Linked DNA regions of Pelodiscus sinensis. The protein of the gene in region 2 purifies or fractionates together with the protein of the main gene of each other region. This does not show direct contact. Links are inferred from orthologs where the notes say so. Each region holds a gene or a part of one and is shown on either strand. Other genes may lie near its edges. The genes, in order: CLSTN1 and KLC1.

Region 1 (15,038 bases), on a different chromosome or scaffold from region 2:
CTTAACTAAAAAAGGCTATTTTTACAACACCAAAGATTTCTACCAGTATAATTTATGGCTCATATTGCTTTGCTGGCTGCAAAGTGGGAGAGTGCACTCTATTTCTATGAGAAAAGAAAAAGTAGGTAGTGCAATGCTGGAAACAAAGACATAACAAAATATACTAGATTAGACAGCATCAGTTTTCTTCCACTTTAATCTCTGCAGACACATATAATCTCATTTGTACTGTGGATGGAAAAACCACTTAGCATTGTCTCATCCAACTGATAAAGTGGCCATTATACCACACCTTACCCAAAAGTATTAAAATAAAGGCTTTTCTACCAGTAACTTATCCATTTCTCCTTCACTTCTTCTCTTTTAGATCCATTAAGGACTTTAAAAAAAGGATACCACACAATTCTTTGGATGCAGTCATTTTTTTAGGAAAATCTAAAATTTTGCCTTTTCTGGAGTGAAAAGAGGAACCATATACTTTAGGGATGTCAGTAGTCAACCAGTAAGCAACACCCTTACCTGGATGATCTTTCAGACTAACTAGCGGCCCCGTCAAGCTGGAGCAGCCCCTCCTGGGCTCGTTGGGCCCATCGCACCATAGGCTGTTTAAATGGTTAACTGGTTAAACATTATGTTTAACTGACTAACTAATTAAATGGGATTTTATATCCCTAATATACAACATTCTGTATAATGAAGACTGTCCACAGTAATGTCTGGAATAAGCTATCTGGAATATGGTAGTTGTAAGAAAGTTATTTGTAGGTAGGACTGAGAAATTCATAGGAACACAAGAAACCTCTTGAATTGCTCAAAATCAGTGATGATTTCCTGGGTATAACTACTGTTTTGATTTTTTACTGTTCCTTTCTGTGATCTTCATCACTCAGTTAAAAGACATGACATAAGGCCTGAGGTGAAGCAGAAGTAGCTAATGTTTTACCTGACCAATGTCTGAAGAATGAACTGTCTTCTCATTCAAAAGACAGAAAGAAAGGAAGCACTCCTTCCCTTTACAATTTAATTTCCCTTTCAGTTCCATTTATCAGAGTGAAGTATTTAACCAATGCTTTAAAGAGTATTTCTCAATGCTAACAGTTCAGCTTTTCCAATAATTGATGTAAACATGTTTAACAATTCTGTTATAACACACAGGCTATGTCTACACTACAGGCTTCTTGTGCAAGAAGCTTTTTGCAGAATACAATTAAACTAGTATTTATGCAGAAGAGATCTTCTGCAAAAACTTCTTAGGCAAGAGAGCGTCCACACTGCAAACGCGCATTGAAAAAGTGATGTGCTTTTGCAGAAGAGAGCATCCACAATACATGGATGCTCTCTTGAAAGAAAGTGTTGATAGCTATCCACAGAATGTCCACCAGAGCACCTGTGCTTTTTCCTCTTTCCTGTTTTTGTGCAAAAAAACCCTGTTGCCCGTCCGCATACACCTTTTTGCATAAGAACTCTTGCACACACAAAAAAGAGTTATTCCTCGTAGAAGGAGGAATACCTACACCGGAAAAACCCTTCTGTTCTTTCATTTTACTTGCGAAAAAATGCACTTCAGGTGTGGACACGCTGCAAATTTTTGCGCAAAAATGCCTATTTTTGCGCAAAAACTCTGTTGTGTAGACCTAGCCACATTCTTAGTCCAACATAACTATTACAAGATAAACATTAAAGAAATAATTTCATAAAATTGCCTTTTATACTATGGACATTAAACTACATAGTATGGACTTTTAACATTTATATTCTAGTTCTTTGCAATAACAGGATGCATTGATTAATCAAAAACTAAAAACTGACATTTAAGCTTATCTAATTCTCTGAAGGACAGAAACACTAGAAAGAAATCACAACTGAAGTATGAAAAGCACATTGTCGGGTCAAATTCAGATGACAATTTAGGGTTTTTAGATAGATTAGATAGACCTACACACACACAAAACCTTGCCCAACTTAAAATGTTTCCATATTTTGTCATGTTGGAGTTCTTGTTTATTTTAATTACCAGCAAAAAAAACAGCTTCCCATCCCAAAGATATTTTCCTGCAGTGTTTGCATTGTGTTAAGAGGACCAGAAAGTTAAACTGATTATATACAACTAAATTGATTAGTCTGTTCTCAGTATCAAAGATGAATGACATACCAGTATTCAATTAGTACTGTTTGCTTTTTAAAACAGTTAATGTGTTAGTAACAAATAGTATATGGAGATTCGCTATTTTTAATCTATGAATGTAAGTATATTTTTTTCAGTTTTAAGTATAGCAACAGAATGCTAGGCTATAAATTACACCACCATGACAAGCTTTGCTAGCTTTCACTAGTCACTGGATTCTTTCTATATTTTATTTAAAAGACAATAAACATATATTTAGATAAACAGTTTCTAACTGTGCACATACCAAAGCCAAATGAAGTCTCATAAATATCTGTAACAAGTTAGTTAAGAACTAATCTTTAGAATCTAGCAACTCAGAATTCTACTCTAGTAAAAGCAGCATCAGGATGGACAACAAACACAGTTTGGGCTCTAACAAGAAATTGTAGATTTAATACTAGCTGATTACAATTAAACTAGTATTTACGTACAACTTTCTACAGAAGTCTCAGAATTACATAAAAACATAAAAACAGGCAAGTAGAAAATTAAGTTTCTGCTGCCATCTTTTCTAAGAAAAAGAACAAAGGCAAGAGTGTATTCGAATCTTCATTCTAATATTGATATCTCAGCAAGGTAACCAAGTATTCATGTTCCACAGATACACAGTATTAAAATGAAATTACAAGATGATTTAATAAATATTAGATAAAATATTGTTACATTTTGGTCTTTAGATTAGTAATAACTTGTCAGAGTACCTAAAAAGAGCTTGTGCGCTTCATAGACAGAAGCCTTTCAATTGCTTATGAAGTCCGGATGCTATTACAAACTAGTGGATGCTAGGAAAAGAAAATGCAGTCCACAAATACCACCATCAGATCAATTAAATAATCTTACAGAAACTGCCCTTTTTAATATATAGGTTCACATTCTGGTAAAGAACAGTCTGCAATACTATAATGAAATCTGTTCAAAAACAGATCTGCAATGCGTATGCTTTTCAGTTTGCAACATCAATCAATATCCAACACTGAAAAGGGTATATGGCAAAAGATGCAATAAAATTGTATTTGCTTTAGGAACAGGACAATGTTCTCTATTAAAAAAAACATGTCATTGGGAGAGGCTCGTTGAGGTGTTAGATTTCCCATTTCTATTCCCAGTTAATGATCAAAGCTCTTCCACTAACCGAAATACCACCATAGTTTTAAAAGCTGTGCACACACACAACTACCCTGCCTTTCAAGAACCAGCTGAGAGACTGTTTACAATATGCAGCCAGTCTAGGGCTGCATGGATAGTCTTACCACATTTCATGAGTTCGGACTATGTTTGATACAAGTTACGACCTCTACACCTCTATTAATTTAAAACCAAACTGAGCTTAAAGAAAAGAAGAAAATATTCACAATGTAAAATCCAAGAGTTTTTGGAGGAACAATTATGTAACATCCACACACTCCTTGTTACAGACCCTAATCAAGGTAACCACAAAACCACAAAACCAAAACAGAGGCAGAACGATTATGGTTCATGCATTCTTCTTCTCACTCACATGGGGCAGGCAAAATATGGCTCATCTGACCTGCAGCCTGCCCTCTCAGGCATAGAGCCTGCCTGAAGGTCCAGCTAGTCAGGAGCCACCAAGTAAGTGCCTCTAGGCCAGAGACTACACCTGACACCCCACCTTCTCCTACACTCCAACTCCCTACCCCAGGTCACCATCCCTTCCCTCTGCACCCTTCTCTCCCAGGTGACAACTCTCTCCCAGACCCTGCACTCCTCTCACACTGCTCCCCCAAGACAGAATCCTTTCCTGCACCCCGCACCTCCTTCCTAATTCCCTATCCCAGGTGACAACTTCCTCCTTCACCCAAACTTCCTCTCAAACTCCACACCCTCTCCTGTACCCCAATCCATAACCCCAAGCTCCCTTCTGCACCCAACTTCCATCTAAGACCTCACATCCCCTCCATTGAAAAACGCAGCCCTTGATCACTTACCAAAATCTCAGGGTGCCCCCTTCATAAAAAAGTAGACACTGCACTGATATATATCTTGATGTCATTAGCAAAGCCAATGCCTTCCCACCCTCTCCCAGAAACCCAGGAAACAGAGTCCCAAGCAGGCATTAGCTCAAGCTGCATCTGCCAGGAGGAGGAAGAGAACAACCTAACTTGAGGTGGGCAAGTCTTCCTTACCAGGAATAACCCACCACTACCGCCTATCATCACACCTCAGCATTAAAGAGAAGTGTGGGTAGCAATTCCCCTCCCTAGTCTGTAGGGCTTCAACTTTGCTACCCCCCAACGAACACACATGATAAATCATCCCCAGATCTGGCTGTTGGGAAGTCTCCTTCACTGGGACAACTCTCTCCTCCTTCTTCCATCATCTATGATTGTGATGTTTGCCACACTATGTATGGGGATAACTCCCCACCCCCTAAGGCAGCACCACTGAGGAGAGGGACTAACCCCCTCCTATCCCTAGCACTCTGGAGAGGGGTATCATCCTGCTGTGCCCAAAGGATGGAGGAAGCCAAAGACATTGCCTCCGCCCACAACTCAGCCCCCTCATAGGAGGAGATTTTGCTCAATGTAAAGGGATTAATTCCCATATGAAATAAGTGAAGGTTAAATTCCACCAGGAGAGGGATAAAGGAGATATTACATGGGGAAACCAGGTTCCTCCATCAGCGAGAGGAACACAGGGGTTCAAATCCCAAACAGAGGTAGGTAAACTGGGTGCCACAAGGAGAATGCACTTAGACCCCCACCAAAGAAGGGAACAGAGGGTTAAATTCCATAGCGATTATAGCTAGGATGTAGGAGATGTTACAGGGAATGGAGTAACCCCCACCCCCACCACGAAGGGGAACGGGGTTAAGCCTCCCAGAAGGGAGAGATGGGGTGCCCTAGGGTTACATCGTTAGATGGGGGATGGAGCTAGACATCCCTGAAGAAGAACGGGTGCGGACTAGCCCCCGCAGAAGGCGGGTGGGGTGTCCCAGGGAAGGGGTGGAGGACAAGCCCCCGCAGAAGGCGGACAGGGTGACCCGGGGAAGGGGGTGGTGTCCCGGGGAATTGGGGGGACAAGCCCCCGCAGAGGGCACGCAGTCTCCAGGGAGGAGGTCACTGCAGCAAGCTCCCCCCCCCCCCCCCCGCCGCACGGCTCCAAGGCTCACTCACCTCTAGCAGCCCAGAGCCCCCCGCAGAGCAGCCCAGCGGTCAGGAGCCAGGCGGGGGCTAGGCGGGGGCAGAGCATCCCGGGGCGCAGCATCGCGCGCGCTCTGCCCGCTCAGAGTGGCAGGGGGGATGGACCCCTAAGAGACAGAGGAGGGGGCCCCCCAGCGGGCCTGGTTGCGTCCCGCGCTGCGGGGCGGAGGGTTAGGGGCGCTGCGAAGGCTCCGCTCCCCTCCTCAGAGCGCAGCGCTCTGCCAGCGGCAGCTAGGATCAAGATGGCGGCTGATGCCTGGGCTCATTCTCTCCCGCACCGGTTACCAGGCGGGGGAGGGGGGCCCAGGGAGAAACCAACTCTAAGGGAGGGATTCGGGAGATGAGGAATGGGAGAAACCATCTTATCCCTCTGGCGGAGGGGAACAAACCATTTGGAGTGGGGAGGGGGGGGCAAAAGGAGAGGAGACCACACCTTATCTCTGGGGGCTAGAGGGCAGAACCATTTATGGGAGGGGAGCACCTTATTTCTTGGTGTGGATTCGAGGGAGGAGAGAAACCAAACCTGTAGAGGGGGGTATCAAGGGAGGGGATAACCCACCCCTCCATTGGGTGGCTGGGGGTGGAGGGAAGGAAAATACCATCTGGGGCAATAGAGAGATGGGAGAAGCCATCGCCTCTCTGTGGGGAGAAGGTGGTTTTCACTCTTCTACCTGGAAGGAACCAAGAGTGTCCTTCTCAGGTGTCCTATCACAGCCTCTGAGCCCCTCTGCAGAGTCCAGGGCTGGAGCGTGGGGAGGGCTCCTTTCCTTTGGCAAGGGAGGGGCAGGGGGCAGGAGGCCGGTGCTCATGTGCCAGCCCTTTTGCATGGGTATGAAGCATCACCCACTGCAATCACACCGGATTTGCTCTGTGTAGGTAGGAGCGGAGGCGGGAGGGAGGGAGAGTCAGAGGCACCATCCATTTTGTCCTGCCCTGCAGGCTCTACTGCTGCAAAGGGGCAGAAGGTAGAGGAGGATGCTCAGCCCCGTTGTGCACCGTGGTAAGCACCACCGAGTGGGCGCCACCCCGATCAAAATAACTAACAATGCGGGGCGTGCTCGCGTGGTCTGTGTTGGCTGGAGCGGAAGGCAGCGCTCCATGCCGGTGCGTGATTCAGTTTGCACTGCAATGCAGACGTCTTGGGATGCGGGGAGGGAAGGCAAGAAAGGCTCAGTGCCTTTCGCGTCGCAGTCAACTTCACACTCCACGGCAAACTCGCGTGCTTTCCCCTGGATGGAGGAGGAGTTAAAACGGTGGCCCCTGTTAATTATTTATTTGTGGGCACGTGGAGTGGGCGGATGGTGGGGATGTGAAATGCTGTCTCACCCGCGATGCTTTTTTCCTTTCTGCGTTGTATTAAAATTCACAAACTGCAATGCAGTGTAATCCACCCAGGAACCAAACCCCTTTAGTGTTTACTCGGCCAAAAATCCGATACCAAGGACATTTTGCCTGGGTAAGAACTGTTGGAAGATCACAGGATTTACCTAAGAGACACTTTGCGGTGTAATTGCCCTGAGGCAACAATTATTTTAGGAGGCTAGATTTCCCTTCAAAGTATGTAGGATTGTTGTCTTCTTTCTGTTGTTGTGTACTTAATTTCCACTGTTGTGGTAGTTTTTCCTGATTTTCCCCAAATAATCATTCATTGTTTACCTTACTGCAGTTGAAATGAACTGTTTTACAAGATTGCTCTGTATCTGGCGAATACAAAAATAATGTTTTAGGATCTGAAGTTATTTTACGAACATTAACTAATTAAACTTCATTACTCCGTAGTGGGACACTATCAAGTCATTTAAAAAAATACTTTTAAAATAGTCCATTTCCTGATACATCAACTTTTAAATAGTATATCTTAACCTTCTAAACATCCCTTTACATTTTTATAAGGGATTTGCCTGCTCCTGTGTTAATGTTTACAGAGATGTTTCCAGCAAGGCAAGATCTGGCTCACCCTTCGCCCCTCGCCCCCCACTACAAGTCCTGCAATAGGGGAGTTTTGCCCATTGACTTCAGGAGGAACAGAATCAAGCCCTAAAACCCAGATTCTGCAAGACATATGTAGAGGTCCACTCACACATGTCACACTATAGCTGGGAGTCTTTCGGGAAAATGGTAAAAGACACCTGTATAAAGTACTGTCAAATGCACAAAGTGGAAAAAACAGAAAAATATGGTGAAGTATTTTGGGGGGGGAGTGTTTTTTGGAGAAGGTTAATCTAAGTCACAATAGTGTACACTTATCTAAATGCTTGATATTAAGTACATACATAAGTATGTAGGATCCCAGCTATAGGTGATTTCTGAGTTAGTGTTCCTTTAAGAATTATTAGCCCCATTTTACAGATGGGGAAACTGAAAGTACAAAATACCTTTCTCATAACTGAACAGTATAAACTTTTCTGCATAAAGTAGCTAAACTGTTTTTGAAGTACCTAAAATATGCAGACGTGCTGATTAGTGACATGCATTTTATGTACATGGATTTGTTTTTTTAAATTAGGATACAGGGTTATTAGTTCTATCTGCGAAAACATGTAGGTGCCCCACATAGAAGATTGCATATGAATAATTTAGGGGTATAGTACTTGTATAGCTGTAGAAGGGTGATTGTCTCAGCTTCCTTTGTTATTGCTCTTTGATCAAAAAATTCTATCAGAGAGCCAGATCCAAAAAGGAAAATCTTACCTTCCCAGATTTATGGAGCTTCATAAAAGACAAAGTGAGACAGACTGATTTTATCATTACAGAAATAGCTGGTTTGCATTTATTAGCAATTTCACTTCCACAGTGAAATAAAAATAAAACACAGACTGTTTTGACACCCCTGATATGGTTTTTGTTTCCATCTTTTTTCATATTTAAACTCATCATGTGACTTTAGTGCTGGTATCACAGACAGCTCTGTTTATCTATAGAACAGGCAGTCCCAGTAACAGCTCCTCCCAGGTTGTCCCATCAATGTAGTAGTAAAACAAATTCAAGATGTAGGGGGGGCCAACCAACCTTCCAGAGGCAAGAGGATAATTTATTTCCGACACCTGTCAGTCCTTGATCTCTCTTCTAAAAGACAATTAGTGACAATTATGATGTGTTTTGTCTAATGGACACTTCATCATTGAGAACTGGATAAAGACAACCAAACACTTTTCATGTAGGCCACCAAAAAAACCATTAAGAAGCGACTTTCACTCTCTAGCATCCTGGGTTGGATTTAAATCAGAACCTGAAGGTAAAGATTAGCACCAATCCCCTAAATTATCCAGCCCACTCCAGGATGCTTTTTGTAGTTTGGTAGCTACACATTCTATGATGAAAATATGACTGCTTTCTCAGTATAGAGCCAAAATCTTGTGAGCATATATCCCACTACATGACAGAGAAAAGTAGTGAAAGAAGAAACTGAATGTCCCACAGCATTAAAAGGAGCTTGGAAAGTCTAGTGCTTGGTGCAGGATGCTCTGAGCCAGAATTCTTGGGTTCTATTCCTAGAAGGGCCAAACATTTTCTATGTGGGTTTTTTTTAAGCAAGTTACTTAATCTTTCTGTGCCTCAGTTGACCAATCGGTAAAATAGTAATAATATCTTCCTTACAGGGATACTTTGAAACTTGGGTTTGTAAAATAGTGTGTAAATCTCACATTGAAGGTGCTATCATATCCACAGTATTATTAAAACAGACTGACTCATTAGAAGATGACAGAGAGCATTATAGAATGGGGCATGATCCAGAGAGGTGTGGAGTATCCACAACTTCCCTTAACTCAAGTGGGAGTTGTGGGTGTTGAGCATCTCTTGGGCTCAGTCACAGGGCATGTCTGGATAGGCTCGTTTTCTTTACACAGTTCTTTATAGATGCATCATTTCCTCTGCAAACTGATGCTCAAGGAAAATGAAACCCTTCGGGGATCTTTCTCAGTGAGGCTCCATCCTCAGGGAACAGCTTCTGCTACTCAGATTGCTCTTTGAATTTCCAAGGTGCCATTCGGCAGCTGGAGAAATGCCATATCGTGGATTGTTCAAAGAGTTTTATTAGAGCTTAATATGATCTCAAGGATGTGCCAAGTTTGTCATTACCTGACAATACAATTTTGTTAGTTTCTAACAAAGTAGCAGGGCTTTGACCGCTTGTATAAATACACTTGTAATGTTATTACTTCCTTTGTGGGGAGCAAGAGGGTGGATTTTTATTATTTTATTTTTAGGTATAAGCAGCATAAATACCAATGTCTGACTTGCCAATCCAAAAGCTTCAGGGGGTAGCTGAGTTAGTCTTTACAGGATAAATTTAAAAAACAACAAATAGTCTATTAACACCTTCAAGACTAACAAAACATATAGATATCATAAGCTTTCGTGGGCACAGCCCACTTGCCAATCCAAGACTGTTGGTACAATGACATCAGCCAAGATGGACCCAGAGCATCAGGGCAACTGAATCTGACATGTTGCTCACCAGCAAATAGAACAATTGGGGGGAAAAAAAAACCTCTAAGAATTTGAAAATCAGAAAGCAAACCAAAGTAGTCCCACAACATTAATTTGCATCCAGATGAGAGAGAAAAAACATTCTACACACACATTACAGCACTTTTGCTAGCACCATCATGTTCTGAAAAAAAATCAAGAAACTACAAACTAATATCCTGAGGGAAGACTTAGTCAGTAATAGTCTCCCTGATTGCCAGTTGAGCAACTCTCTGTAATCATCATCAACCAGTTTTCCTCACAGCTATTTATATTGGGGGCTGGTGGACAATTCAGCATACCATTTTATCAGCAGCTAGAAAGTCAATCTGCATTTCTTAGTCAAATCTCCCATTAAAATGTCTTGATTTCTCAAAATGCCCAACTGTGAGGATTGGGAGGTTCTGACTGTACCACTTTTCAGTTGTGGATTAGGTTATGTAATGGTAGCATGACATTGCCCTGCCTTGGAAAGCTTATATGTATGTGGCACCACTATGAGTCAGCAGGGTTGGATCAGGTCTCTGCCACGCTGGAGATAAAGATGGATGACGAAGCAGAAAACAACAGTCTATTCAAAGTAAAATACCTTGGGACAATAGGTTTGATCTACCTCCACTTCACACACATGTGTGCGCACACACACACACATACAGGCAGTCCCCCGGGTTACGTACAAGATAGGGACTGTAGGTTTGTTCTTAAGTTGAATTTGTATGTAAGTCGGAACTGGTACATATTGTAGGGGCAACTCTAGCCAAACATTTCTCCAGCGCTCAGTTTTATTCTCCCACACCTAACTTCCCTCAGTCCTTTATTCTCAAGCTGAGGTGTCTGCTGAGAAAAGCCGCTCTGTGTCTCCCTGGTCTGCTGGGGGGGGGGGGGGGGGGGTGCTAGCTTTGCGTCTCCCTGGTCTTCTGGGGGGAAGCAGCTAGTGCGAGGTTGCCTCACCCCGTTTGTAAGTAGGGATCTGATGTAAGTCGGATCCATGTAACCCGGGGACTGCCTGTATATATATATATATATATATATATATATAAAACGAAATTATAAAGGGACACACAGAGGGCAGATGGAACCATTTTGCACCAGACTAAGATGAGGGTGAGCAAAGAACCCTGCCTGCCTGATGGAACACAGGTGATCTCTCAAGGAAAGGGTGAGCTACCGGAGGACAGTGCATTTAGTATAGTGTTTTATGGTTTTCTGTATGATCTGTATTCTGTGTGTTTTCTTAAGTAAAGAGCTGTGGAGCTAGAATAAGTGCAGAGGCAGTTTACTCTATGGCAAGGTCAGGTCATCACATGGCAGTTTATGTCAACCTAAAACTGAAATATCTACACTAAAATGTCGTGCCCGCTGAAGTAACTCGTCCATTCTGATGACTTAATAATTCCACCTCTTTGAGGCATAGTGCTCAGGTCAATGAAGTTAGATCAACACGGTGTCAGTCCATTACTTACATTGACTGCTGCTGCCTTTCAGAGACCATATCGCAATGCCCCACACTGACAATTTAACCAGTGCAAGCGCTCCTAGTAAGGACACACACCTGCACTGCAAGCAGCATAAGGTAGAGATACAAAAGCAATTGACTTACTTCAGTGACTAAGTCAACATAAGGTCAATGTAGTTCTGTAGTGTAGACTTGCCTTTAAAGTTTAAGCATTCACAACTATCATGTTGATCCTGAAAGAGAGAAACAGTAAACTGAACGCTTCACACCTTTTGGGTGGAGTTCCAGGAAAGTAGAGTTACTTAAGTACCAGGGAGCTGATGGGTTAGAACTGCATGCAGAGGGGCTAGGTAGCTGGACAATGGGTTCCAACACTCAGGGTTTGTCTACACAGCAGGGCTTAACTTGAAATAAGCTACGCAAATTGAGCTACATCAATTGCGTAGCTTATTTCGAAATTGGGATTGTCTACACCACAATTGGGAGCATCTACACCATGGCTGGTCTCCAGTAAGGCCCCAAGAGCTTAAAATACCCCCAGAAAACCCAGGGCAACACAGATTTGGATTCCCTTTATAGCAGTCCTACTAGGTGGCTAGGAAGGGGTACTTGCCAGGATAAGTGACACCAACATATGCTGACACATTATATTAAAAGAAGCTTAAATTAATGGAGATTGCCTATCTCTTAGAACTAGAAGGGACCTTGAAATTGAAAGGTCATCAAGTCCCATCCCATCCCTTCACAGCAGGACCAAGTACCATCCCTGACAAATATTTACCCCAAATGGCCTCCACAAGGATTGAACTCACAACCCTGTGTTTAGCAGACCAATGCTCAAACCACTGAGCTATCCCACCTTCTAGCCCTGCTGTTGCAGTATGTATCTAAATCCTGACATTCTGTCAATGCTTCACCAGATGAAAATGTGCAATAATATGTATTTTTCTTTTAGGTGGCTAGTAGGAGTCGGATCCAACAAATCCTTACTCACACAAGTAATTTTATTGACTCAATGCATAATGAAGGACCACACACAAGTAAAGGTTTGCAGGGCAATTAAAGCACAGCCACTGATACCTGTGTGATAAGGCAGAGATCTGATAAATCCTCCACACTTGGGAGTCTTTAGAAACAGAATTGTGCACTAACTCTGAGTGGGAAATGTAAATGTGTCAGGATTCAAAGCAGTATGGACAGTCCTCTCTGCAAAGTAACACATTTTTCAAATGTAAATCAACAAACAACGAGCTCTTATTACATACAACAGCAAAGAAAACAATATTTAAAAAGCAAAATCCAGAATGCCATGGCTATTCCTGTATCCGAAAATAATGAAAATAATATTAAATAATATTACCGTCTCTCGTACGACAGTAAGAGATTTAACCTGAGTTCTGCTAAAATATGTGCCCTTAATACCTTTTTTCCAGCTAGAGTGCCATATCATAAGTTTGTCAGGAGGGGAAATATTTCTGGGATTAACTAAATGGTTCCAATCCTGCAAAACCTACAAAGGTGAGACACTGAGGAGAGAATATTTCGGGGCCTCTTTATATGCTGATATAGATGCTTTCCCAAATTAGCTTTTTTTTTTTTAAATGAATGCATCTGCAATTATGTCATGGGGTGCTATGGCACTAGCACCTTGTTAATTATTCTAGGTTGGGATGGAGCACCATGGAGCTGAGAGCTTTCCAAAGAGCAGATAGGTGCTGCCGGTATCTCATTGAATAAAATTCTTCCATCAGAGTCACTGCTGATTGAGTCAGTAAAGTCAGTGAGATTTAAGTATCATGTTAAGGACTTTTTAAGTGTTTTGCTGTGCTGGAGCTCCTACAACCCAGAACATTACACAGTGTTGTGGTGTTGGAAATGCCAGTTCTGGATGAAACATAGAATGAAGAAACATAGAATGCCATGTTTAGAATAATTCAAGATCTTTGGGCACTTTCCTAAGATTATTAAAGATGGAATCCTAACCAAATGCCTTGCAGTCTGCCAGCCTAAATTCATGCTGCAATTACAGGGCGAAATTGAAATTGGTTCCTATCTTAGGGTACGTCTAGACTACAAGCTTTTGTTGACAGAAGTTTTGTCGACAGATACTGCCAACAAAGCTTCTGTCGACAAAGAGTGTCTAGACTACAGACAAAACAAGCCGCTTTGTCAACAGACAAAGCAAGCCGCTTTGTTGACATGACAGTGTAGACGCAAAGGACAGTGTAAATGCAATAACACCTTCTGTCGACAGAACTATGTCGACAAAAGGCGTTATTCCTCGTAGAATGAAGTTTACAGCCATCGACAAAACTGCTGAATTCTGTTGATGTTATGTCAACAGAATTCAGCGGCAGTGTAGATGCAGGTATAGTTTTGGCGACAAAAGTCCACTTTTGTCGACAAAACCCTGTAGTCTAAACACACCCTTAAACTTGAGTAGTGTTGTTGTTTTCTGTCAAGCAGCGGCTGTGCTTCATGCATTTCACTGGTGATGCAAGGGATCCCTGCTTGCTGTGAAAATGCAAGAGGCTATTATTTTCATAGGACCCATCATACACGCTCTATAATCTTTCCCACCTGTCTTCCTCATACACTTTGGCCTGCCTTGTCATCATTTGCAATTTTGTTTTTTTCTAGTAACTAAGGCTCCAAGGCTTTCGTGGAAATCATGGATTCCACGGCTTTCTGGGACCTCTGTGACTTCTGCAGCGGCCAGTGTACCCAATCCAATGGCCACCTGAACAGCAGGGCACTGGCTGCTACTCAGGCAGCCCCAGGCAACTGGCCATCCCCCCACCTCCAGCAGTGGGGCCCCAGGGTGCTGTCCCTCAAGTTGGAGCAGCAGCTACTGCAGCAAGAGCCTCCATCAGGAACAGCAGCAGCATTGGGGCTCCAAGCCACCCTCACCAGGAGCAGCAGTGTCTGTGGGAGCCACTCTCCCCACCCCAACAGCTAAGATTGAGGGAGGGGTATTTTTAGTAAAAGTCATGGATGGGCCATGGTCTGTGGCTTTTTGTTTATTGCCCGTGACATGCCCATGACCTTTACTAAAAATACTCATAGCTAAATCGTAGCCTTACTAGTAGCCTATAAAACTGGGACAAAGACCTGGTGGCAGAACATGTTTTCTGTGAAAGCTGAAAAACGAGTGGACTGGTGTCCTTGAAACACGCAGCATGACTAATGCTCGGCTTACAAGGATCTAGGAGCACACATTTCTTGCACTTGTCAAAATGGAGCTGAGCAGCCTGAAAAGAACCGATAAGGCTGTAGGTAAAAATGAATGTCCTTTGCTGATTCTTACTTCAAGCAAGTGGGCGGGGGGGAGTGTCTTGCATAGAGAGCAGGGGGTCTTCACCAGCAAACTCAGCTGACAAGAGGGACGAGTCTGATCCACAAAGCTCAAATCTGGAACCAGCTGTGAACATGCTCAGAGAGCAAAGTAGTGTTCAGCTATAGGCACATGGGTAGTGAGTATCAGAGGTTAGGGGAGGCTATGCTTCCCCAAACAGCCTACCATGGCTCTGCCAATGCTCTGCCCCCAGGCCAGGCCCCCCTCATACATGCTGTTCCCAGCACTTTGCCTGGGTTGGTCCCAGTGCGCTGAGGCAAGCTAGTCGGCTTTCCATAGGGCACAGGAGGAAGAGGTGGGGGTAGTTTCCTCAGGCGGTCAGGGATCCTTACTGATAAAAACCCTGGCCTTAACCCCAAGTCCACTACTCATAGGACTCTAACCACAGAGCAGGGTCCCTTTCCCATAAGAGCCCTACCCCTTGTCCCA
Region 2 (15,084 bases):
AGGCACTTTCGCATTCCTCCTTTGAAATGTACAAGCCCGCCCCCCCCTCCCCCGAATCAGCTGTACGGCTGCCCCTTTGAAATGCCACCTCTGTGTGTTTCAAAGGGGAAGTGGAGCCCCGGAATCAGCTGGGGAAATTGACTAGTCAAAAGACTACCCAATACACAAATGCTTATCGGATAGAAGACTAGTCTTTAACATCCCTATCTTAGACACTAGAAATGTTCATGATTAATGTATATAACTATGAAGTGATTATATAAAATTAGAGGCTCAAAAGTAAATCTTTTTTTCATGTATTGATTACTTTGGATTTTCTCACATTCTAGTATATTCTGAAAAAGTTCAATAAATATACCAAATGTTTTGTCAAGACAAACCATCAGTAAACATTTTTCTTAATAGCTTATCCCAGGGATGGGCAGTAAGTGGCTCATAAGCTGGATGTGGGATGCTTATTGTCCACCCTTGGCTTATCTATTGCACATATATTTGCTCAATGGAAAATAAGGTCTTGAACAGTTAATGAAATTATAGCAGTTAAAAGATTTAGTAAGTTGTATATATTGAGGTGACCACCTTACAAGCATGATAGCCAATATACACATCTGTGTTCATATGCATATATGAAACACTAATTATTCTTATGAGATTCTTGAATATGCATCAGTGCTCAAGTCCATAATTTTGTAAAAATGTGTCAAACAGCAGTGACATGCAAGCTGGTTTCTATCTTTCAGTTTATTACAAACACCTAGTGACCTAGATCTCATCTGATTTCTTTTATTTTATAGCCACTCCAATTACTGTCACTATTCACTAATTCTCAACGATGGAAGTACTTAGGCACATACTTAAGCCCCCAAAAAAACCTGTTCATTAAGATGTGGAATTTTATTCTGAATAGTTGTAATACTATGTTTATGGTCATAGCAGACAAATGCCAAATCAATATCATATTCCAATTAACCTTGAAATGTTGTTTAATTGCTTTAATGGGTACATTTCAAAACTTATCTAGTAATAGGGGGCTGCAAGGGCAGGGTGGAGCGGGGAGAAGACAGCTTAAAAGCCATTTCCCCCCAGCACTGGCTCTGCAGTGCTGCCTGTCCCCCCTCTCCCTCTACCTATCCCACCAAGATCACACTGGTCATGAAGTTTGGGTGAGATCTTAGCAGCATCTTATTCCTGTGGAATGTTATATAGGGAAGTTCAGTCAATCACCTACAGTTCACTCACTTTTCTAGCTAAAGTGACAGCCACTGGAATACCATCTTCAAAATGAGTAATATAAGGTGCATTCCGACAGTGGTTCAAAAGGGAGGCTAAATGAGGTCCCAGAAAGAAGTAGGTTCTCTGATGGGTGGATAAGTATGTCAAAGCCCTTGAGGAACTTCAATAACGTTAAGCACAAAAAGTCAGAGCATGATTGTTCTTGAAGCTGACAGGCTGAAATTCCTGTGATGAAGACTTTGACAGAAATAAATGAAAGGCCAGACAGTCTGAAGTGCAAAACAGGTAACTAAGGATCTTCTGTCTAAAGGCCTGTAGCAGATCCAGAGTATATTGGGATGCACGTATCAAAATCCATTTACATGAATAAGTCTTTCTTCTGGGCAGATACCTGTTCTGTATCAGGATTTCATGGACTTTATGAAGCAGTCTCTCTCCATAGTACTTGATATGCCTACTGCAATCCAGACTAATTATTGGAAACCTGCATGGGGTTTATGGCAATGGTCCTGTCAAAGCAAGTACAACAATCCAGAAGCTAAATCAGCAGCTAATTGGTCAATAGTGGCAGGTTTGTCAGCCAAAACTAGGACAGAGCTATAAAAGTGCTTGTGGCTTTTTCCAAACTCAGAAGAGACTGTCACCCTGGAAAGAAGGAAGTTGCTGAAAAGGTGTTCAGAAGGCCTCAAAACCACTGCAGAAAGAGGAATGACTTTGGGTTTATGCTCCTTTTGGAACAAGAGTTCTGGTACTTATTGTTAATGGTGGTGAACAAGTCAACCACAGGGAATCCAATGCCATCAGAGATTTACGAAGCTCTACAATGGTGTTCTACAGAGACCACTGAGAAAGTCAGCCTGTTGGCTGCCAACTCCCGGGAAGTAAAGAGCCATTGGATAATGTCATGTGGATGGCTGTTAAAGTTTTCAGGCTGCCCAGGACTGAATGTTACGCTTCTTACCTCCTGCCTCCTGTGAGGGGTAGACTTGCTAAGTGTTAGGTCCTTGGTACATTCAGTCAGTTAGCCACCCTAACAATTTCCTCTGGGCTATACATCCTCTACTTTGCCTTGCAGGTTAACAATAGGTGGACACCAGTACTAGGGCTCCTTTGAAGCATTCCCCTATAATGTTCAACCCCTTATCTAAACACTCACAGGTATGTTGTTTCCCAGGGAACAATATACACACACATTTGAATGATTAAACTCACCATCAGTCCTCATTATATACCATGATAGCACTGAGATATATTTACAATCAGTGTTATTCAACCAGTGGTACAAGTACCCTTAGGGGTACTCGACAGAAGTCTGTGGAGTACGTCAACAACTGAAATTTTGAGAAAACCAAATTTGTGTTTCAAGTTTTATGGTGCTTTATTATTTTTGTACTTTTTACACCCAAAAATTTCATTGCCCACCCAACTATGATTAAGTTGTTTAAATAAATGCGTTGCAACAGTAGAAAAAAATGTTGTGCATCCGAAAACTGTAGGTAAACTTATTTTTTAAGGGAGTACTTTATAAAAAAAAAAAAAAGGTTGAGAAACACTGATCTAGACCATCCCTGACAGATGTTAGTCTAACCTGTTCTTAAAAATTTCCAATGACAGAGATTCCACAGGCTCCCTAGGCAATTTATTCCAGTATTTAACCACCGTGAGTTAGAAAGTTTTTTCTAAAGTTCAACCTAAACTTCCCTGCTGAAATTCTAACCCACTGCTTCTTGTCCTGTCAGAGGTTAAGGAGAATACTTTTTCTCCCTTCTCTTTGTAACAAATTTGTAGATACCTGACATGAAGATAAAGAGTGGCTGCTCAAATCCAAATGTCTCAAGAAACACACAACTTTCAATGAAAAAATTTTGAGACTAAATTTGAAGATACAATGAAGTCTTCCAGGGACACCCAGCCAAACAGGAGACCCAAAAACACGCAGAGGCGCAGAAGAAAGTATATATGTGAGAATTTTGTGACAACCTCATGGAAAGCTCCTCCATCAGCATAGCAACAGCAACTGATTCTGTATTTTAAAGGTGCCTGTACAATACTATTTCGGTTCTCCTGCTTTAATAAAGTAAATATAAAGATTCTTCCTCTTAAATAATTTAGATGCCTCATTTGAAGTTGCATACACCATTACTCTTATGCTGATAAGCTAGATTTTTCTTATTTTGTCTAAACTACCAGGCCGCTTAGCCTCTCATTTTGCCTTGATAAATGGCACATGCGAATAGTTCAATGCTATAATGCTTAAAAGATAATTTAAAATATATAACTAACATCTTATTTATTTTCCTTGATTGTAAATGTTATTTGATAGCAATATTGTTTTTATTAAAAGGAACAGGAAATAAATATAATGTTGATAGATCCTCATATTAATGGGATTGTCCATTCCCATCATCCTCAGAGGAACAGAAAGACTTCCAAACTTTTTAACTGCAACATGATGCAGAAGTGATACTGCATTCTGGTGTGACTTTGAGGAATTGATTATTATAATCCTCTGCCCCTCCCCACATAAGTCTGCTGAGCTCTGAACACAACATAATACTTCTCCAAATTTGCTATAATTTCACAGCAGTTTCCTGTTAAGTAACATGTTAACTATAAAACTGTTCTGCTGACTGAAAAAAACATGAAAGTCCTGTGCTCAATTTCAGCTAATGGATCTGCTTCCTCTCTATTGTCTATGAATGTTAAACTTGTTACTCAATACTATTATTAGTCCTGTGGTTTGGTTATCTTCAATTATATTGTATCCCAGCTATGGAATTAATAACCAATTAAAATAAAATTATTTGCCAAATATGATTTTTGAATAGAAGCTGAACTCAAAATTGTAGCCAACTTTTTTCAATGTTTGTATCTGGAAAAAAATTTCAAGAATGATCTTGTGTGCTAATTTGGACGAATGTTTCCTATGCAAGGTGTAGCTATAAACAAAAATAAATGAGACATCCACCAAATGAAATACCATAACGCACCATGCTTGCTCCTATTGTCACAGCAATACAGATTTATAATATTTTAAGAATCTTTGCTTTTTAGTAAAATCATCCATATTTTAAAATAAACATAGTATAAATTAATTTATACTATCTAGGATGTTTGCTTACTTTTTTATTTCTCATTTTATACAATGCAAACTAATTTCACATTTGTTTTAGTCCGTTTTGCTTACTGCATTACTGTTATGTTTAGTTTTGAAATGATATAGAGAAAAAATATAAATCAAAGAAAAATAAGCAGAAATATATATGCTTTTGTACATTTAATTATCACTTAATCATCAAGATATGATCCCCAAGATACCCTGAACAAAGCATACTACAGAAATGTAAGGCTTACATTTGTTATTTGAGAATTTAATTGACTATAAAGGCTCACTCATTATACAGATAATATGTCATCTAGAAAAAAAAAACAGTCACATTCTTACAAACTAAATTATTTGTTTGAGGGGGTCTGGAAGACTCTGATAAGAAAAGAAGCTTCACCTATGAAGCTACAAAACCTGATGTACATTACTGTTATTTCATTCACATTAAGTGCAGCTTATTGAAGAGTTGTGATTTGGGTTTGTTTTTAAATCTTGCAACTATGATTGGCTTCTGGGGTGAAGACCTCATACATAGAGTCTTAAAGTATAACAATAAAGAGGTATATAAAGGTAACAATCTATGGCTGTTGCTTCTGTAATTTATATAGCCAATCACCACACACGAAAATTCAAGAGCTGTCATTACTGTTCTTTCAGTATTTCAGAACTAGCAACCAACCAACCGAACCATCTATCCATTTTGCAAATAAAGACATTACAAGGGAGGGAATAGCTCTTTATCCCACAACTCTGTCCAGGGTTTCCTCCTTGGGCATCCTCAGGCCCTAACTGCAGCACTGGAGGAAGCCAGGAAAGAGCAAGAAAAGAAGAGAAACAACAACAAAAAAGCTGCTCGCAATCCAGACGAACAGGATCCCTTTCTCTCAGCATCTCTTCAGCAGAATCACCAGTACAGTCACTGCCAGAGCAGGTCCTGGGATTGACAGACATACTGAAGAGGCTGGCTGTAACCATGAGCTACAGAAGGACCGTCAGGCCAACAAGACCTGCCCAGCCTTTTGTTCTGTTTGTGTCATGGGAGAAGGGAAGGGAGGTGAGGTTCAGCGCTCATGGAAAATGGCAAAACACGGACTAACCCCACCCCTTGTCAACCGCCTCCTGCTGCCTCTCTGCACACGCCCCCTACCCACTCCCACCCCATACCCTCCTGCGCTGCCCCAACCCCCGACAGACACAGGGCTCGGCCCCATCCCCCCGCTCTATCCTACTCCAACACGCCGGCCTTGTGCCCATCACCCGCCCTGCCGCCCTCAGCCCCCGACACTCACAGGGCTCGGCCCCAGCCCCCCAAGCTCTATACCCCCTATTCACCAACCCGCGCCCCATCACCCGCCTTCCCAGCCCCCGACAGGCACAGGGCTCGGCCCCAGCCGGCCTCTTCCCTTCTCCCTCACTCACCGCTCGGGTGCTGCAAGCGGAGGCGATGCGCGCAGGGCTCGGCGAGGCGGCCGGGCTCCTCACCCCGGGAGGGCACCGGAGGGGATGTCGGTGGGGGGAGCAGGGCGGCACCACCAACCCCAGCGGCTTCCCCGCCCGCCGGCTGCCGTGGGCGCGCCGGTAGCCGGCGCGGAGCCGCCCGCGGGAGACGCGCTGACAGTTGCGGGCAGTAAATGCCGCCGCCGCCGCGCGTCCCCTTCCCGGCTCCCAGCCTGTGCGGCTCGCTCCGCCCCCCACCGAAAATGGCGGCTCCTCCCGTCCCACAATGCTCCGCGACCAAACCCATGACGTCATCCCTGGGGTGGGGGCAGGAGCTTGCCGCGGGGCGCGTGCGCCGGCAGGGCCCTTCGCCCCGCCTATGGCAGCAGCAGGAGAGTGGCGAGGCGCTGGGACTACCACAGCCCCCTCTGCTGGCCAAACGAGGAGACTTCTCCGAGAGAAGGGTCCGCCTGCAGGGAGAGGGGGTGTCCGGCAGGAGCAATGGTCAGGAAAGTTCCTCTTGACCAGCTCTGTTCTCCCTACTCCGTCTCCAGCCGGTGCAGTGGCGAGATTTTAAGAGTGGTCCTCACTTTAGCATGCTCTGGCTCCAGCGTGTAAGGCTCCCAAATTTACTAAGGTGATTTTGGCCCATGGTGCAGGAGGTACCCCTCCCTTGCCTTGCAATTAGTTTTGCTCCTAATCAGTCATGTCTCTTCAGTCTTCCCATCAGTTCATAGCCCCCCTGGGTTCTTCCTCCCATCCTTCTAGACCTGGAGAAGGAGGGTTACAGAAAGATCTCTCTCCTTTCCAGGCTAACCTGCTCAAAGGGCTCTTCCTCCCTGCTCTGCCTCTTCTAAAACCAGCTGGTGCAGGGAGAGAGAGGGACAGGAGGAGTCAATCAGCCATCCTCTTTTCTGGTAAGAGGGGAGATATCTCCACTCCCCCTTCCCTCTTGTGAGAAAGTTTCAAATTGCTACAAAGAGAGAGGAGAGCACTCTTTCTACAACAACTGTGATTGACTGTTTTGCTCCATCAGTCAGCCAAGTTAAAGAAGGCAACTAATCAAAGGGGTTTCAATGCAGGTAGAGCTCAAAGTTGCTAGCAGGAAGGAGCTTCTGGGAAAATGTCTGGTCACATTTACAGTTAAACATATATACACAAACAGGTCAACTGCCCACTAATGGTTAATTATCTATTGGAAGTTGCAGTAAGGATGTTAAAATGCAGATAATCAGTTAATCAAATTAAATTTTCAAAAACTATTCAATTAGGGGATAGCAGCTGCAGCTCTGCAGTTTAAATGTAGTAGGAGCCAGGTACCAGCTCCTACTCTCCTGGCAGCGGGAGAGGAGCAACTAGTCGAGTATTGACTTGACTACCCTGTAAGCCTAGGCTTATCAGGTAGTTGACTAGTCACTTACAACCATAAATTGTAGCAGGGAGCTACTGAGTAGAGTTCTAGTATTCGCTAGATAATAAATAGGAAGCTACCAAAGGTTGAGTCTAGGGGCAGCCCATGAGCCTAGGCGAACTAGGCAGTTGCCTAGAGCGCTGCTGGCCCGGGCGCCCGATGATAACGTCACGACCATTGATGGCGGTACAGGCAGGGGCGCCAATTGCGCTGCCTGCTTGGGGCGCCAGCTGCCGCAGCCGGCCTCAAACCGCTCCTGGTTGAGACTCTTCACATTATGGGAGCTAACAGGGTAGCTCTACAGAAATGTGAGAATATGAGGAGGAAGAAGTAGAGGACAACCCTATATCCAAGCTAAACATTAAGGCTTCGTCTACGCTGGCAGCTTCTTGCACAAGAACTCTTTTGCAGAAGAGTTCTTGTGCAAAAATTCTTCCACAAGAGAGCATCTACACTGCCATGTGCTTTTGCGCAAGAGCATCCATGGTAGTGTAGACACTCTCTTCTGCAAGAAAGCTCTGATGGCCTTTTTAACCATAGGGACTTCTTGCTCAAGAAATTCATGTTGCCTGTCTACAATGCCCTCTTCTGGAATAGTGATAGAAATGTAGCTGTGTTAGTCTGGGGTAGTTGAAGCAAAATGCAGGACAATGTAGCACTTTAAAGACTAACAAGATGGTTTATTAGATGATGAGCTTTCGTGGGCCAGACCCACTTCCTCAGATCAAATAGTGGAAGAAAGTAGTCACAACCATATATACCAAAGGATACAATTAAAAAAAATGAACAAATATGAAAAGGACAAATCACATTGCAGAACAGAAGGGGGATGCGGGGGGGTGGGAAGGGGGAGGAAGGAAGGTAAGTGTCTGTGAATTGCTGATATTAAAGGTAGGGAGAGTGGGATGTTTGTGAGTTAATGGTATTACAGGTGATAATTGGGGAAACTGTCTTGGTAATGGGTGAGAAAGTTCAAAGTCTTGTTAAGTCCTTGTTGGCAAGTGTCGAATTTTAACATGAATGACAGTTCAGAGGATTCTTGCACAAAAGGGCTTATTCCTTATGGGGAGAGGAATAACTCTTCTGGAAGAAGCCCTGTTTTACAATGCTATACAGTAAATTTACTTCTGGAAGAATGCTCGTGCAGTGTAGACAACCGGCAAGTTTTTGCGGAAGAACGGCTGCTCTTCCGGAAGAAACTGCTAGTGTAGATGTAGCCTAAGAGTTAGAGGGTAGGGTTGCCACGTTTCTAATCACAGAAAATCAAATACCTTTGCCCTGCCCCTTCTCCCAAGGGCACCCCTCCACTCTTCATCACCCTTTCTCTGTTGCTTGCTCTTCCTGCTATTCATTCACTTTCACTGGGCTGGGGTGTAGTACAAGAGGGCGGTCCAGGCTGAAGTTGAGGGGTTTGGAGTACAGAACTGGAGCAGGGAGCTTGGACTTTGGGGGGGGCAGGCTCCAGCAGGGAGTGTAGGCTCTGGAGTGGGGCTGAAGCTTTTGAGATGCAGAAGGGGGCTCAGGGCTAGAGTGGGGGAGGAGGTGTGGCTCTAGGAGGGAGTTTGGATGCAAAAGGACACTCGTGGATGGGGCAGTGGGTTGGGCTGCAGGAGCGGATTTTCGGTGTGGGCTCAGGCAGGACTTATCTTGGGGGTTCTTCCAAAAGAGATGATATATCCCTTGGCTCCTAAGCAGAAAGACGAGCAGGCAGCTTTGCACTGACTTCACCCACAGGCATTATCCCTGCAGCTTCCATTTGCCACAGCTCCCATCATTGGGAACTGCAGAGTTGATGCTGGGAGAGAGGGCAGTGCCCAAAACTTCCCTGATTGTCCTTCTAGCTAATGGTCACAGGGACATGCTGCCCATTCCTGGAAACTACCTAGAGCCAGGGCGGGCAGGGAGCCTGCTTTAGCCCTACTGCACTGCTGACCTGACTCAAAGGCCTGGACAGAAGTGATAACTGGAGTCACCGGGACCCCTTTTTGACTGCAGTTTTTGACCAGGACATCAATGACTAGTAGGGGAATCAGATCTACTTGGTCTGGCAATCCTAGTAGGGGAATCAGATCTACTAGGTCTGGCAGTTCGATAAGTTTTCATGAATATACATAAGATTTAATTAAAATTTGAACATCCTCATTATGCAAGACAGCTGATGCAAAGAACTGCTTCTGTCTTTTGGCTAAACAATATTCACTATCTCTTCATCACCCATAAAAAAATTCTGTAGTTACTAATTTGCCCTAGAGACTCGAATGGCTCTGAATAAAGCAACTACTCTAACATGGCCAGATACATAATGCATATTATATATAGTTTTGATTTCTGCTAAGTAGTAAATATTTCATAAACTTCCAGTCAGACAGGTATCTAATTTGCTAGCTAATCATGTGTATCAGAAAAGACTTGGACTATGTGCTTCTGCAGCAAGCTTCCACCTGATTTCAAATACAATACAAGCCCCTTCCATGAAAGGTCTGCTGGAATAGGCTTCTAAGAGTATGAAGCCCTGCAAAGCTAAGTTATTCAGGGTTTGGTTTCAGCCCTAGGAGGCAGGGCTCAGAGTCTGTGGCATCAGCCTTACAGAGCGGCACTCTGGCTTTCTAACACCCTGAAACCTACTTTTGGCCCCCATGAACCCCAAACATTATGCTTTGGTTGGAACCTGGGCTGCTCCTCCTTTGGAGGGTAGCAGCATTCAGGACCAAACATCTAACCCAAATTTATGGCCCTGTAGCCTGAGCCAGTGGACACAGGCCAGCCCTGAGTGTTTTATTGCAATGCAGACTTACCCCATGGCTACGTCTACACTGCAGGCTTCTTGCGCAAGAATTTTTTGTGCAAGAGTTCTTGCACAAGAGCGCATCCACACTGCCATGTGCCTTTGCGCAAGAGATGTGTTTTTGTGCAAGAGCATCCATGGCAGTGTGGACGCCCTCTTGCGCAAGAAACCCCTGTCCCCATCCACACTGCCTTGCGCAAGAGGGCTTATTCCTCATAGAGGAATAACTCTTGCGCAAGAAGCCCTCTCTTCTGATGCTTTACTGTAAATTTACTTGTGCAAGAACATGCGTGCAGTGTAGATGCTCTGCCAATTTTTGCGCAAGAACACCTGTTCTTGCACAAAAAGCCTGCAGTGTAGACTTAGCCCAAGAGCCTACTGGAGACTGGAAAAAAAGATAGCCATTTACATAGGAATTGATTCTGGTTACACCAGCAGTAAATCTTTTCCTTGCCTGCTCTTGCTTAAGGAGCAGTGTAGGTACAGAACAGTACTTTTAGAGTGAAGTGGCCTGCAGACCCTCGTGGAGAGGAGGGTCATTAAAAGGCTAGGCCAAGTCCTTATGATTCTGTGCAGACTTTCCAGGGATGTGGTAGTTTTGACCATGAAGGAGGGGATGTGGTGTGTAAAAGCTTCCTCCCATCTCAGAAAGAAATCTGGATCTTTAACTCACACTGAAGTGCATGTTTTTACACAAGTTATTTGTGGAAAGGGAGCAAACAGTTCAAGCAATCAAATACAAAAACCTGTGTTTAAATAGTTGTTTTTGTCACAGCTGTTAGTCTAGGAACCTCAGAGTTCAGTCTGACTGACAGTCTGGGCTATAGATAGTCTCTGAACCACAGAAAAATTCATATTAATTCCTTCTACGTAGGCCATTCTGTTACACCATTTTGATTTTCAGAAATAATCTTCCATCTGATATGTTCTCTCACAATGGTGCTAAAGTGTTTTACAAACAGCTTGTTCCTGCACTCTGTGCACACAAAAGATTCCCAATGACTTTAATATATTAATATGGGTTACAGTATGGAGCTACACTGGAATTACTTCATCCATCAGTGAAATACAGCAGCTGTTCAAAAATGTCCGGGCAATAGTAGTCCTCTAAAAGCCAGATTCAGCAGCCTGTCTGGTATTTTTTGCTTCATCAGGCCCTAAGTTGGCAATGTTTAATGCTATCAACTTTATTGATTGCAATTTCTTGCCACTTTCACAGAGCTTTAATAAATATTCCATACCACAAGGTCTGTGCTAGAACAGTAAATATGCTCAGATAAGCACTCGAGTCAGAAAATGCAAAGTTCACAATTCCATATAAACACTCTTAACCTTACCCCTTTGTACATATATTACAATATAGTCTTTGATTTTTTACAGGCAGAATTACACTGGTATCACTGAAGTCAGGGGCCCTAGATCCCTTTTTGCAGTACTCCTTCCTAGATAGTCATTTTTCATTCTGTATGTGTGAAACTGATTGTTCCTTCCTAAGTGGAGTATTCTGCAGGTTTCCTCTTAAGATGCCTCCCCACAAGCACTGCTGCTTGCCCTCCCATGCTGCTGTCTTTGGAATGTCCTTCCCACCTGCCCCCACTGAATCAGTTAACTGGTTAAACTTAACATTTAACTAATTAACTAAGCAAATGGTATTTTATATTCCTTGTCTGTAGAGGAAGCCACCCCCCCAAGTAATTGGAATGGGTCTTCATTTAGCTCCTTAATGGAGATAGGGTTATTCTTTCCTTCACCTTTCCCCTCTATTTTCCTGGGTCTTTCCCCATCCCAAAGGTACAGAACGTGGCACCTGTCACCCGCCATCTTGGGGTGGGATGGGATATCTTTGGATTTAAAAAATCTAGTCCCCATTTTAGTTCCCTAAATCAGCAGTCGCCAAGCAGTATTGGAATCCTCTGGAGCCTCTGACAGATGATCCTGACTGGTTTGGCCAGGAAGCTATGAAGCGCTGTTACTTTAGTTGCCCCTCTGCCCACTGTCATGCTGCTCCTGTCCTCTGCCTGCTGCCCCCCAGCCTCTTACTTGCTGTGCAGGGCGTGGAAGGGAGAACAGGAGGGAGCGCTGATATCAAGGTGTCCCTCCTCCCTCCATTCCTGTACCCTATCTCGACACAGAGAGAAGGGGATGGAGGGAGCTTGGCAATGCAAATAAAGTGTGTGTTATTTTTGGTTTCTGACTGGTCTGTGCATTTCATAATTTTCATTTCTCTCTTACGCTTGCATTCAATTATTTGAGTAGTGAGTTCTAAAATGCCTAATCGTCATGGCTGGAGTAGTTATCCTTATGGGAATTGCTGCTCCTGGAAGTGGCTGGCATGTCCCTGTAGCCCCTGAGAGAGGCAGAGCAGCGGATCTCCACATGCTGTCCTTGCCTGCAGACACCGCTCCTGCAGCCCCAATTGATCAATAACAGAGAACTGTGGCCAGTAGAAGCTGTGGTCTCAGTGACTGTAGATGAGGGGCAGCACATGGTGCCATGGAGCCATTTCTGCACATGCTAGCTGCTTTCAGGAGTGGTACAGGTGTGGGGCCAGGGCAGGAGTCAGCCTGCCTTAACCCCACTGCTTCACCACCTGGAAGCCATCTGAGTTAAACGGTGCCCAGCCAGAGCCTGCATCCTGAACCCCTGTCGCAGCCCTGAACCTTCTCCTACACCCAACCTCCTGCCCCAGACATGAGTCCCTCCTGCACCCGAAGTCCTTCCGAGAGCTTGCACCCTGAAACCCTCTCCTAAACCCCAATCCCTCACCCTGGGCCCAGATCAGTCTGCACCCCAAATCGCTACCCCAGCCTGGTGCAAGCGAGTGAGGAGGGGGGGAGGTAAAAGGGGAAAGCAGTGAGCAGGGTGAGCCCTGAGGAAGGGGTGGGGCAGGGGCAGGGGTGGGGCAGGGCCTCAGAGAAGGGGCAGAGGTATGTGGGTTTGAGGTAGCTCTTACATTGCACTTAAATTGAAAAAGTGATCTTGTGGTTAAAATGGTTGGAGACCACTGCCCTATATCATCTTCTTTCCAACATCTTGATAGCTTTCTACCTCATAGAACACAGGATACCATCTTCATTGATGGCAGACTAACTTTCAACCCATTAAGAACAATGGCAGAAAGCATCCTTTTAGAACAAGAGTAAACAAACAAAAACATCCCACAAGTTAAACCTGAAACCACAAACAGCTTTAGGAAAAAGGAAGTACCCACACATACCCAATACAGAATAAATAAAATCTAGCTCTGATTTAACTCATGAGAATGGCAGGTTTTCCTTGTGACCTCCTTTCTTACAACACCATCCTTTTTGTTCTTTGCCAGAACCCCTATCCTTCACTTCTCTTCTCTCTTTCTCAAAGCTACTTGCATAAGCTTTGATTTCCAGGAGGCAGCTATGGTATAGGCCAGGGGATCTGTTTACTAATCCCGTGAGGAGCAAGGATCTGACACCTTCCAGATGAATGTCCTAGTCATTGGAATAGTCACTACAAAATAGTTCTGACTTTTGGAAGCCCAATTAATATTTAGTTCTTCAGTTAAAGTGGAGATGAGGTAACCACACCTCAGAAAATCCTGTAGCCCAGTGTTTAGAACATTTTAGGCAGATCACTGTGCACAAAGCCCTGTTAGTTGTTACCAGGCTTCGCGTATCAGGCTCTCTCTTTTGACTACCAGCCCTACTACTCTCTAAGGGACACACACTTAAGTTTGGGTTGCAGCGAAGTGCCTAGCTCTGTTCAGTGACCTTCAAGCAGGCATCTGCCACGACAGTCAGGCATCTTAGCCGCTTAAAAGAATTTCCTGTCAGAATGAGTTAGGCACCTGTCTTGTACTACCCAACACAGCTAGAAGAGGTGGTGTCCACTTTATAACTTTGAGCCCAGTGGTACACCATGGCCATATGTTTGCAAACTCTCCTCATTCAAAAACCAGACTGAAGAATAATGGTTTCTAACCTTCAGGCCCTTTTGTGTAGTAATTTAACATCCTTTTCCCTCTCTCCCCCCATTTTATTTTACCATGTGAAATTGTGACTGCAAAATCTGTAATTCATCCCTCATGGGAGGAACATATGCATTTATATCCATAAAGAAAGGATCACATTCTTTTTTATTCTCTTAATTGAGAGTGAGCTAATCCAGGATTAGAATTAAATGTTCTGGGCACTATTTAATTTGACTTACCCTCTTCCTTTTTGTTATAAAATGTAATACATGGGGCTTTTAAGAAATTCATGCTGCAAATAACTGCAAATGCTTTTCTAATTTCCTCAGAAGCATATAATGGAACTAAAGGTTAGAATATAATTCTTAATTATATGTTAAATTAAGTTCAAGGTGCTGACTAGTGGTTGGGTAATGACTGTAATCCTTATGAGCTCAAACCAGCAAACAATAATCCTCTGGGGCTGCTGGTTTTATAGAAACAATACAAAACCTCCTGAGCTCCAAGGGAAAATTTCCTGTGCTGAGGCAGCTAGTGCCCTTTATCTGCTGGTTGTTCTACAGTCAGTTTCTCCCAGGGGCAGATTCTTTGACTCTTCCCAGCCCTATTGCCATATATAAACAATCAAGCAGTGAGTCTGAGATCTGACTACTGCACGCTGCCCTTCCTGTAACTGAAGCAGACAAAGCACTGGGGAAAGAAAAAAGCTTGTTCTCACTTCTGGAAATGTAATTAAAACATACAAACAACTCAGCTGGCTGGAATAGTGGATGGCCTCCACCTAGGAGAGTTACTCTAGGATCGTGTAATCCACGCAAGCTAAAGGCCCCTAAAATGAGAGTGACAGATAAACTAAGTGTAATGAGTATTGGAACATAGCACCTGAGGAATTTATTTTAAAATAGGGATGTTAAATATAGTGTAATCGAATGGTCATGTAACCCCCACTTTTATATATACACACACATACAAATCCAACAATTATTCAAAAAACTCTAGAACGGTAACAACAGAAATCAACTTAAAATGTTCCAAAATTGACAATGTGCATTACACAACATTCTTCATGTGACAAATCATTCAGGGAGAGGCCTTTATCTCAATAGCAGATTTAAAGCTTTTCAACCAAGTGTTTTAACATGGAGATGCAATTAATAATCTGACAG

What was found.
Region 1: the proteins of KLC1 (region 2) and CLSTN1 purify together in Homo sapiens (co-immunoprecipitation; 3 studies listed by BioGRID and IntAct, with this or other methods). This does not show direct contact. The link is inferred for Pelodiscus sinensis from reciprocal best matches to the Homo sapiens genes KLC1 and CLSTN1.

Annotation. Positions count from the first base shown.
Region 1 is NC_134733.1:12,830,638-12,845,675, reverse strand, and holds the start of CLSTN1 (calsyntenin-1), read right to left. Parts: upstream 5,649-15,038; 5' UTR 5,393-5,648; coding exon 5,302-5,392; intron 1-5,301. UniProt on the Homo sapiens protein: Postsynaptic adhesion molecule that binds to presynaptic neurexins to mediate both excitatory and inhibitory synapse formation.
Region 2 is NC_134714.1:20,262,190-20,277,273, forward strand, and holds the start of KLC1 (kinesin light chain 1), read right to left. Parts: upstream 6,048-15,084; 5' UTR 5,759-6,047; intron 1-5,758. UniProt on the Homo sapiens protein: Kinesin is a microtubule-associated force-producing protein that may play a role in organelle transport. The light chain may function in coupling of cargo to the heavy chain or in the modulation of its ATPase activity.